Linked DNA regions of Xenopus tropicalis. The protein of the gene in region 2 interacts with the protein of the main gene of each other region in a pairwise test. Links are inferred from orthologs where the notes say so. Each region holds a gene or a part of one and is shown on either strand. Other genes may lie near its edges.

The links. The genes of interacting proteins can lie anywhere in the genome.
Region 1: the proteins of pias2 (region 2) and tsr2 interact in binary tests that used the Homo sapiens proteins (3 or more experiments, as listed by UniProt). The two-hybrid records come from large-scale screens. The link is inferred for Xenopus tropicalis from reciprocal best matches to the Homo sapiens genes PIAS2 and TSR2.

Annotation. Positions count from the first base shown.
Region 1 is NC_030684.2:25,372,952-25,377,204, reverse strand, and holds the start of tsr2 (pre-rRNA-processing protein TSR2 homolog), read right to left. Parts: upstream 2,801-4,253; 5' UTR 2,588-2,800; coding exon of another isoform or gene 2,557-2,587; coding exon 2,476-2,556; intron 2,383-2,475; coding exon 2,292-2,382; intron 1-2,291. UniProt on the Homo sapiens protein: May be involved in 20S pre-rRNA processing.
Region 2 is NC_030677.2:206,564,446-206,568,509, reverse strand, and holds the start of pias2 (E3 SUMO-protein ligase PIAS2), read right to left. Parts: upstream 2,801-4,064; 5' UTR 2,717-2,800; coding exon 2,693-2,716; intron 1-2,692. UniProt on the Homo sapiens protein: Functions as an E3-type small ubiquitin-like modifier (SUMO) ligase, stabilizing the interaction between UBE2I and the substrate, and as a SUMO-tethering factor.

The DNA.
Region 1 (4,253 bases), on a different chromosome or scaffold from region 2:
TGGAACCATGAATTCTACTGTCTACCAAAAAATCCTGAAGGAGAATGTCCGGCCATCTGTTCGTCAACTCAAGCTGAAGCGATCTTGGGTGCTGCAGCAGGACAATGACCCAAAACACACCAGCAAATCCACCTCTGAATGGCTGAAGAAAAACAAAATGAAGACTTTGGAGTGGCCTAGTCAAAGTCCTGACCTGAATCCTATTGAGATGTTGTGGCATGACCTTAAAAAGGCGGTTCATGCTAGAAAACCCTCAAATAAAGCTGAATTACAACAATTCTGCAAAGATGAGTGGGCCAAAATTCCTCCAGAGCGCTGTAAAAGACTCGTTGCAAGTTATCGCAAACGCTTGATTGCAGTTATTGCTGCTAAGGGTGGCCCAACCAGTTATTAAGTTCAGGGGGCAATTACTTTTTCACACATGGCCATGTAGGTTTGGATTTTTTTTCTCCCTAAATAATAAAAACCCTCATTTAAAAACTGCATTTTGTGTTTACTTGTGTTATCTTTGACTAATAGTTAAATGTGTTTGATGATCAGAAACATTTTGTGTGACAAACATGCAAAAGAAGAAGAAATCAGGAAGGGGGCAAATAGTTTTTCACACCACTGTATAATCTCTATATGGCCAAAGTCACACCTGGCTTGTCTCAGCCTGCATTTTGTAGGCACTCCACTAACAGTCACAGGTTTGGCCTGAGTGCAGCTACATGGAGGGGAGTGGAGATCAACCAAAAAAAAAAAACAAAACCCATTAATGTTAAGGTGAATATCCCTTTAACACAGGCACAATCACAACTGTGGAAACAAAGGCAGATTTATGAAACCTGAGGGTGCTGCATTAGTTTTATGAGATTTGGCAAAGGCCAAGCCATCAGCTTACGTGCACATAACTCCCATCAGATAGCTGGCAGCTTAGAGTATCCTATTGGGAGAGGACCATGTGGGATCATTGATGCTGTCCTTGCTCAGCAAGTAATCTGAGCTTAGAACAACTGAGCATGCCCACAAGCCAACAGCCAAAGCAAATTCCTGAGGGAGGGGGCTGAGTGGGTTACAGGAGGAGAAGCAAATCTAAGTGATTAAGGGGGTTGCAGCCTTACTATTAACCTCTGGACAACCAGTGTGGCAGGAATTGAAAGATTTCAAAGAGGCTGTTCACTGATTACATTTTTGTGTGTGGGGTTTACATGTCCTTTAAAGCTGTATTCTATATAGAGTTGTGAGCTAAATATAAACATCAGTCAGCAGTCTAAAGGAGAAAAAAAGCTCAACAAATTTTAAAGCTATAAATGTTAGACCCCATGTCTTGAGCTTCTATATCTGCCCAAAGATGCCCCCAATAGCTCCCATTCTTCTTTTCTGCTGACTCGCTGCAGTGTGTGTGTGTATACACACAATATACAATTCATAATACAAGCAGATTATTTAGTGCAGGTTCACATTACATGGCAGCCTAGAAACCAGTGCACACTGCATAGAATGACTTCTCTCGACCCCTAAGCTTTGCTTCTCTACAGCTGCCCAGTGCTCACTGAGCATGTGCAATGTCACTGACACTCAAAATAAGGCCCAACAAAACCGTAAGATGCATATTTCTATGGTATAAACATAAAACCATGGGTAATTAATATCACAGGGCTGCCGAGTCTCTGGCCTAGCCCAGAAGTTCAGTAGATGCAACAAAGCATTTCTAGTCATTATTTAGTGTTTATTTGTCATTTCATGGCAAACATTTAGGCAACTTGCAAATAGCTGATAATAAAAAGAGAAAAGCCACCAATACCAAGGCGCACAACAGGGCATGTAGAGCAGTAAATTAAAGACGAACTTAGAAAGGCAAATAAGTATTATATTTACCCTTTAACTATCAATCTATAAATAGCGAGAGTATTCGCTGTTAGTACGAGTATCTCACATCCTATTTGTGTCTGTTAGTTACCCTCCCATATAGATTGTAAGCTCTACGGGGCAGGGACCTCCTTCCTCTTGTGTCCTCGACTCTTAACTTATTGCAGCTGTATTTATCTGTATCTATCTGTATTTATTGTTGTACTTTGTATTTATCTATTATTATCTTTATAACCCCCTGTTTGTATTAATGTATTCTACTGTACAGTGCTGCGTACATAAGTAGCGCTTTATAAATAAAGACATACATACATACAAACATACATACATACATGCTCAAACCTCAATAAAACCTGTGGTGGGGCCCCCAACCCCCCATTCTACACATCCCTTCACTAGTTCATTAGTTAAAAGCCCATAAATGATCACCTTTCACGTACCATTAGAGTTAAAATACTGGTCAATTGCTCCAACCATCCACTCCGCCTTCTCCTGGCTGTGAGGCCCACCAAATCCATTCTCCACCGCGATCTATGAAACGACATTTGCAAGTAATGTACAGGCACAGACTCGCTTGCTTACTAATACCCGTATATAAAATGTTCATTGAATGCAGCAAATCACCTGCAGCACCGGCCAGCTGCCCAGAACAGCCCTGACAGCTTCGCCGAACAGCACACGTGAATCTACGCAGCGCGCCGCCATGACACCTCTCTCCCAGCAGCAACCGCGTCATTCAGGCCCAAAGGAGGAGGCGCCGATCACATCGATAGAGAATGCCGCAGCCATCAGCGCAGAGCGGATCACAGGAGCGTCTCCATGGAGACAGGCATAGTCATACATGCGCACTATAGGGGAATGGCAGCTATTAATCAGCTTAGTAACTGCTGCTCCGTATGGCAAGGCTGTAGGGCCCAAGGGGTCCCTGCTAGTATCAGAGGGGCACAGTAGGAAGTAGAAGGGGGACACACAAATTGGAAAAATGTTAAACACTTGAAAAAAAAAAGAAATGCTGTGGTGGAAACTTTCTGACCACTCCCATTTTTGTGACCACATCCCTAAAATATCACTCCCATTTACAAAATTTGGCAGGTTATTTAAAATTTTAACACATGTTTGGGGGGGTCTTGGTTTATTGTGTTATTACAATTTTGATTGTAATTGTATCTTTTTTTAGCATTCAGTGCAGGAGATCAAAGGGAAATGAGGGACAGAGTACACAGAGGCCCAAACAGCCCACAACAGCCCAATAATTAGTGACTGTCTATGGCCAGGGCCGGATTTCTACTTGGGGCGCCCCAAGGCCGCCCCCATTCGACGCCCCCCCCACCCCCGCCGCAAAAATGCAAATGCGCCTAACTTGCGCATTCCCCATTCCTCCGTATGGGAGCAAAATGTTAAAATTTGCTTGCAGCGGGGCGGCATGCCACCCCTGTGTATGTGCCGCCCTAGGCCCGGGCCTTTGTGGCCTCGCCACAAATCCGGGCCTGTCTATGGCATCTTACAGCAGTGCCTGTGCTACAGAGGAAGCAGGCCCTGGATTTGCAGTGAGGCCCTAATAATGAGTAATTTCAATAATCATATAGTATTCACATTAAGTTTTGCCTGATGCACCACACTCTGTTACAGTGCAGTTAAGCACGCATACTGGCATAACTATAGAGGAAGCAAACCCTTCAGTCACGAGAGGGGGGCAGACTGTGGGGTCTGCTACCTCTGCAGCTCTAAAAAATTCCCCTCCCGAGCTACTAGCTTACCTATCTGGTGTGTTTGGCTGAGCGCTTGAAGGGAGGTCCATGCCAGGTCCCCTGCAGGTTTCTTTGCAGGGGGGCCCAGAGCAGCATTATTACACCACTGCATCCACATCATAGGCAAGTGTTGCACAGTAATACATAGTATTACCCCCATTGCAAGCATGCTCTTCTATGTCACTAGTGAAAAATCCATTGTGGGAACAGTGCCTGGCACACTAAGTTACATTTGCACAGCACTGGAGTATCACACGGTACTCCAGCATGCCAAAGAGCATGCTCAGCTGATGCTTTTGCCTTTTTCTGTGCCACCACACCATTATTCCTGTCAGGAAAAATCGGTGGTGGGCACAGGCAGCTGCAGTTGGTCTTATGATGGACATGGAGCTAAACATATAGAGCATACCTCCCAACATTTGAAAAATGAAAAGAGGGACAAAAAGATTTGGCGTGCGCAGCGCGGCAAAATTTTTTGATCACGCCCCCTTTTGTGGCCACGCCCCAATTACCACACCCCATTTAAAAAAAATACCCCTTTTATATAGATGAAATGGCGGGTGCAGACGAAAATGTGCTATACCCTCATACTGAATGACCTAAGGAAAACAATATAGCAACTCCTACATATAAATACAAGTATAGAGAGAAGGC
Region 2 (4,064 bases):
CTATATTACCCAGCATGCCTCACTGTCACAGTGTAACTGTGCCATTCCCACCCTTGGCTCTCCTCTTGGCTATATTACCCAGCATGCCTCACTGTCATAGTGTAACTGCGCCATTCCCACCCTTGGCTCTCCTCTTGGCTATATTACCCAGCATGCCTCACTGTCACAGTGTAACTGTGCCATTCCCACCCTTGGCTCTCCTCTTGGCTATATTACCCAGCATGCCTCACTGTCACAGTGTAACTGTGCCATTCCCACCCTTGGCTTTCTCTTGGCTATATTACCCAGCATGCCTCACTGTCACAGTGTAACTGTGCCATTCCCACCCTTGGCTCTCCTCTTGGCTCTATTACCCAGCATGCCTCACTGTCACAGTGTAACTGTGCCATTCCCACCCTTGGCTCTCCTCTTGGCTATATTACCCAGCATGCCTCACTGTCACAGTGTAACTGTGCCATTCCCACCCTTGGCTCTCCTCTTGGCTCTATTACCCAGCATGCCTCACTGTCACAGTGTAACTGTGCCATTCCCACCCTTGGCTCTCCTCTTGGCTATATTACCCAGCATGCCTCACTGTCACAGTGTAACTGTGCCATTCCCACCCTTGGCTCTCCTCTTGGCTCTATTACCCAGCATGCCTCACTGTCACAGTGTAACTGCGCCATTCCCACCCTTGGCTCTCCTCTTGGCTATATTACCCAGCATGCCTCACTGTCACAGTGTAACTGTGCCATTCCCACCCTTGGCTTTCTCTTGGCTATATTACCCAGCATGCCTCACTGTCACAGTGTAACTGCGCCATTCCCACCCTTGGCTTTCTCTTGGCTATATTACCCAGCATGCCTCACTGTCACAGTGTAACTGTGCCATTCCCACCCTTGGCTCTCCTCTTGGCTATATTACCCAGCATGCCTCACTGTCACAGTGTAACTGTGCCATTCCCACCCTTGGCTTTCTCTTGGCTATATTACCCAGCATGCCTCACTGTCACAGTGTAACTGCGCCATTCCCACCCTTGGCTTTCTCTTGGCTATATTACCCAGCATGCCTCACTGTCACAGTGTAACTGTGCCATTCCCACCCTTGGCTTTCTCTTGGCTATATTACCCAGCATGCCTCACTGTCACAGTGTAACTGTGCCATTCCCACCCTTGGCTTTCTCTTGGCTATATTACCCAGCATGCCTCACTGTCACAGTGTAACTGTGCCATTCCCACCCTTGGCTCTCCTCTTGGCTCTATTACCCAGCATGCCTCACTGTCACAGTGTAACTGTGCCATTCCCACCCTTGGCTCTCCTCTTGGCTATATTACCCAGCATGCCTCACTGTCACAGTGTAACTGTGCCATTCCCACCCTTGGCTCTCCTCTTGGCTCTATTACCCAGCATGCCTCACTGTCACAGTGTAACTGTGCCATTCCCACCCTTGGCTCTCCTCTTGGCTATATTACCCAGCATGCCTCACTGTCACAGTGTAACTGTGCCATTCCCACCCTTGGCTCTCCTCTTGGCTATATTACCCAGCATGCCTCACTGTCACAGTGTAACTGCGCCATTCCCACCCTTGGCTCTCCTCTTGGCTATATTACCCAGCATGCCTCACTGTCACAGTGTAACTGCGCCATTCCCACCCTTGGCTCTCCTCTTGGCTATATTACCCAGCATGCCTCACTGTCACAGTGTAACTGTGCCATTCCCACCCTTGGCTTTCTCTTGGCTATATTACCCAGCATGCCTCACTGTCACAGTGTAACTGTGCCATTCCCACCCTTGGCTTTCTCTTGGCTATATTACCCAGCATGCCTCACTGTCATAGTGTAACTGCGCCATTCCCACCCTTGGCTCTCCTCTTGGCTATATTACCCAGCATGCCTCACTGTCACAGTGTAACTGTGCCATTCCCACCCTTGGCTCTCCTCTTGGCTCTATTACCCAGCATGCCTCACTGTCACAGTGTAACTGTGCCATTCCCACCCTTGGCTCTCCTCTTGGCTCTATTACCCAGCATGCCTCACTGTCACAGTGTAACTGTGCCATTCCCACCCTTGGCTCTCCTCTTGGCTATATTACCCAGCATGCCTCACTGTCACAGTGTAACTGCGCCATTCCCACCCTTGGCTCTCCTCTTGGCTATATTACCCAGCATGCCTCACTGTCACAGTGTAACTGCGCCATTCCCACCCTTGGCTCTCCTCTTGGCTATATTACCCAGCATGCCTCACTGTCACAGTGTAACTGTGCCATTCCCACCCTTGGCTTTCTCTTGGCTATATTACCCAGCATGCCTCACTGTCACAGTGTAACTGTGCCATTCCCACCCTTGGCTTTCTCTTGGCTATATTACCCAGCATGCCTCACTGTCATAGTGTAACTGCGCCATTCCCACCCTTGGCTCTCCTCTTGGCTATATTACCCAGCATGCCTCACTGTCACAGTGTAACTGTGCCATTCCCACCCTTGGCTCTCCTCTTGGCTCTATTACCCAGCATGCCTCAGTGCATGTCTATATGCTAGAGGCTGGGAGACAGTGTGCCAAGCCCATGCCAAGGCTCAGTGCCCAGGGAGGGGACACACATGATGCATAATGGCAGCACTCATTTAGTCTGTGCCAGCTACAGTCCCTGTTTATCCCCTTCCCTCTGCCTCCTCTCACACTGACAGCCACCTGCCCCCCCCCCCTTGCTCTCCTCACCCGCAGCTCCTCGGTGTCCGCCATCTTCTCCAGGCACCATCCTGCGGCCAGCGGGCTAGAGTGGGGGAAGGGAACGGGAGAGGTGGGGGGATGGTCAGTTTATGGGAGGAGCCATCGGGGGCGCGCAAAGCGTGTGCAGGAGATCTCTGAGGGAAAACGGGGAAGCGCGGGAATGAGGGTCCGTCCATGTGCGGGGGCTGCTCATGAATGGGTTATGGAGGCACAGAGGGATAGATACAGAGACTGTTACATAGTTGTCAGATAGATACAGGCATGAATAGGTAACAGGTGACTGATAAATCCACACAGATAATATGTGTCACCACACACTGATATGTGTCACCACACACTGATATGTGTCACTACACACAGATTATAGTTTGGTTGCCACCCCTGATGGAAATATCCTATTCTCCCCCCTCCCCTGAATTTGTATAAACCTCCCCGCCCCCACAATAGTGACATAAATAAAGGGGTGAAGGTTCATCTCCACTGTGAGGTTCCACCAGATAAGGTCTGCTTCCATGTGGCCAGAAATTCCAGCGTCCCATAAATCCCAAAGTAATACTAGGCTGAAAGCAGGAATGGGGGCCAAGGCCCTGGTGATATGGTGGGGTTGCACCGGTGCCCAAATACTCTTAGTTCTGCCACTGGGTCTAAAGCTGGCCATACGCGCACCAGTATTATCATACGAAACCTCGTTTCATACGCTATTCGGTGCGTGTATGGCGGCTCGAAGAGGCGGCCGATATCACAGAAGGCTGCGGATATCGGTCGATTGCCCAGGTTCAAGCAAAATCTACATTCAGGGCTGAATTGCCAGGTGGAGGTAGAATTTCTATTGTTTCTGGGAACGATCTTTAAAGATCGGAATTGCTACGTGTATGGCCACAGTAGTAACATCAAAAAATGTAAGTGTTTTAAAGTAATTTAATGTGCTGTTGCTCTGCAAAAAACTGGTGTTTTTTGCTACACAAAAGCTACTATATAAATAAGCTGCTGTGTAGCCATGGGGGCAGCCATTCAAGCTGGAAAAAAGGAGAAAAGGCACAGGTTACATAGCAGATAACTAGTAGATAAGCCCCATATAATGTGGGTTTATCTGTTATCTGCTAAGTAACCTGTGCCTTTTCTCCTTTGAATGGCTGCCCCCATGGCTACACAGCAGATTACTTATATAAACTATAGTAGTCTTTCTGAGGCAAACACACCAGTTGTAGCAATGCAGGGCAACAGTACATTATATTGTAATTACTTTTATACACTTTCATTTTTTGGTGTTACTGTTCCTTTAAGACCAACTCCATAATTCCTCAGATATGTTTTAAAGCTTTATTTTGCACATTTTTCTCCCATTCTACTTTTTTGGCCT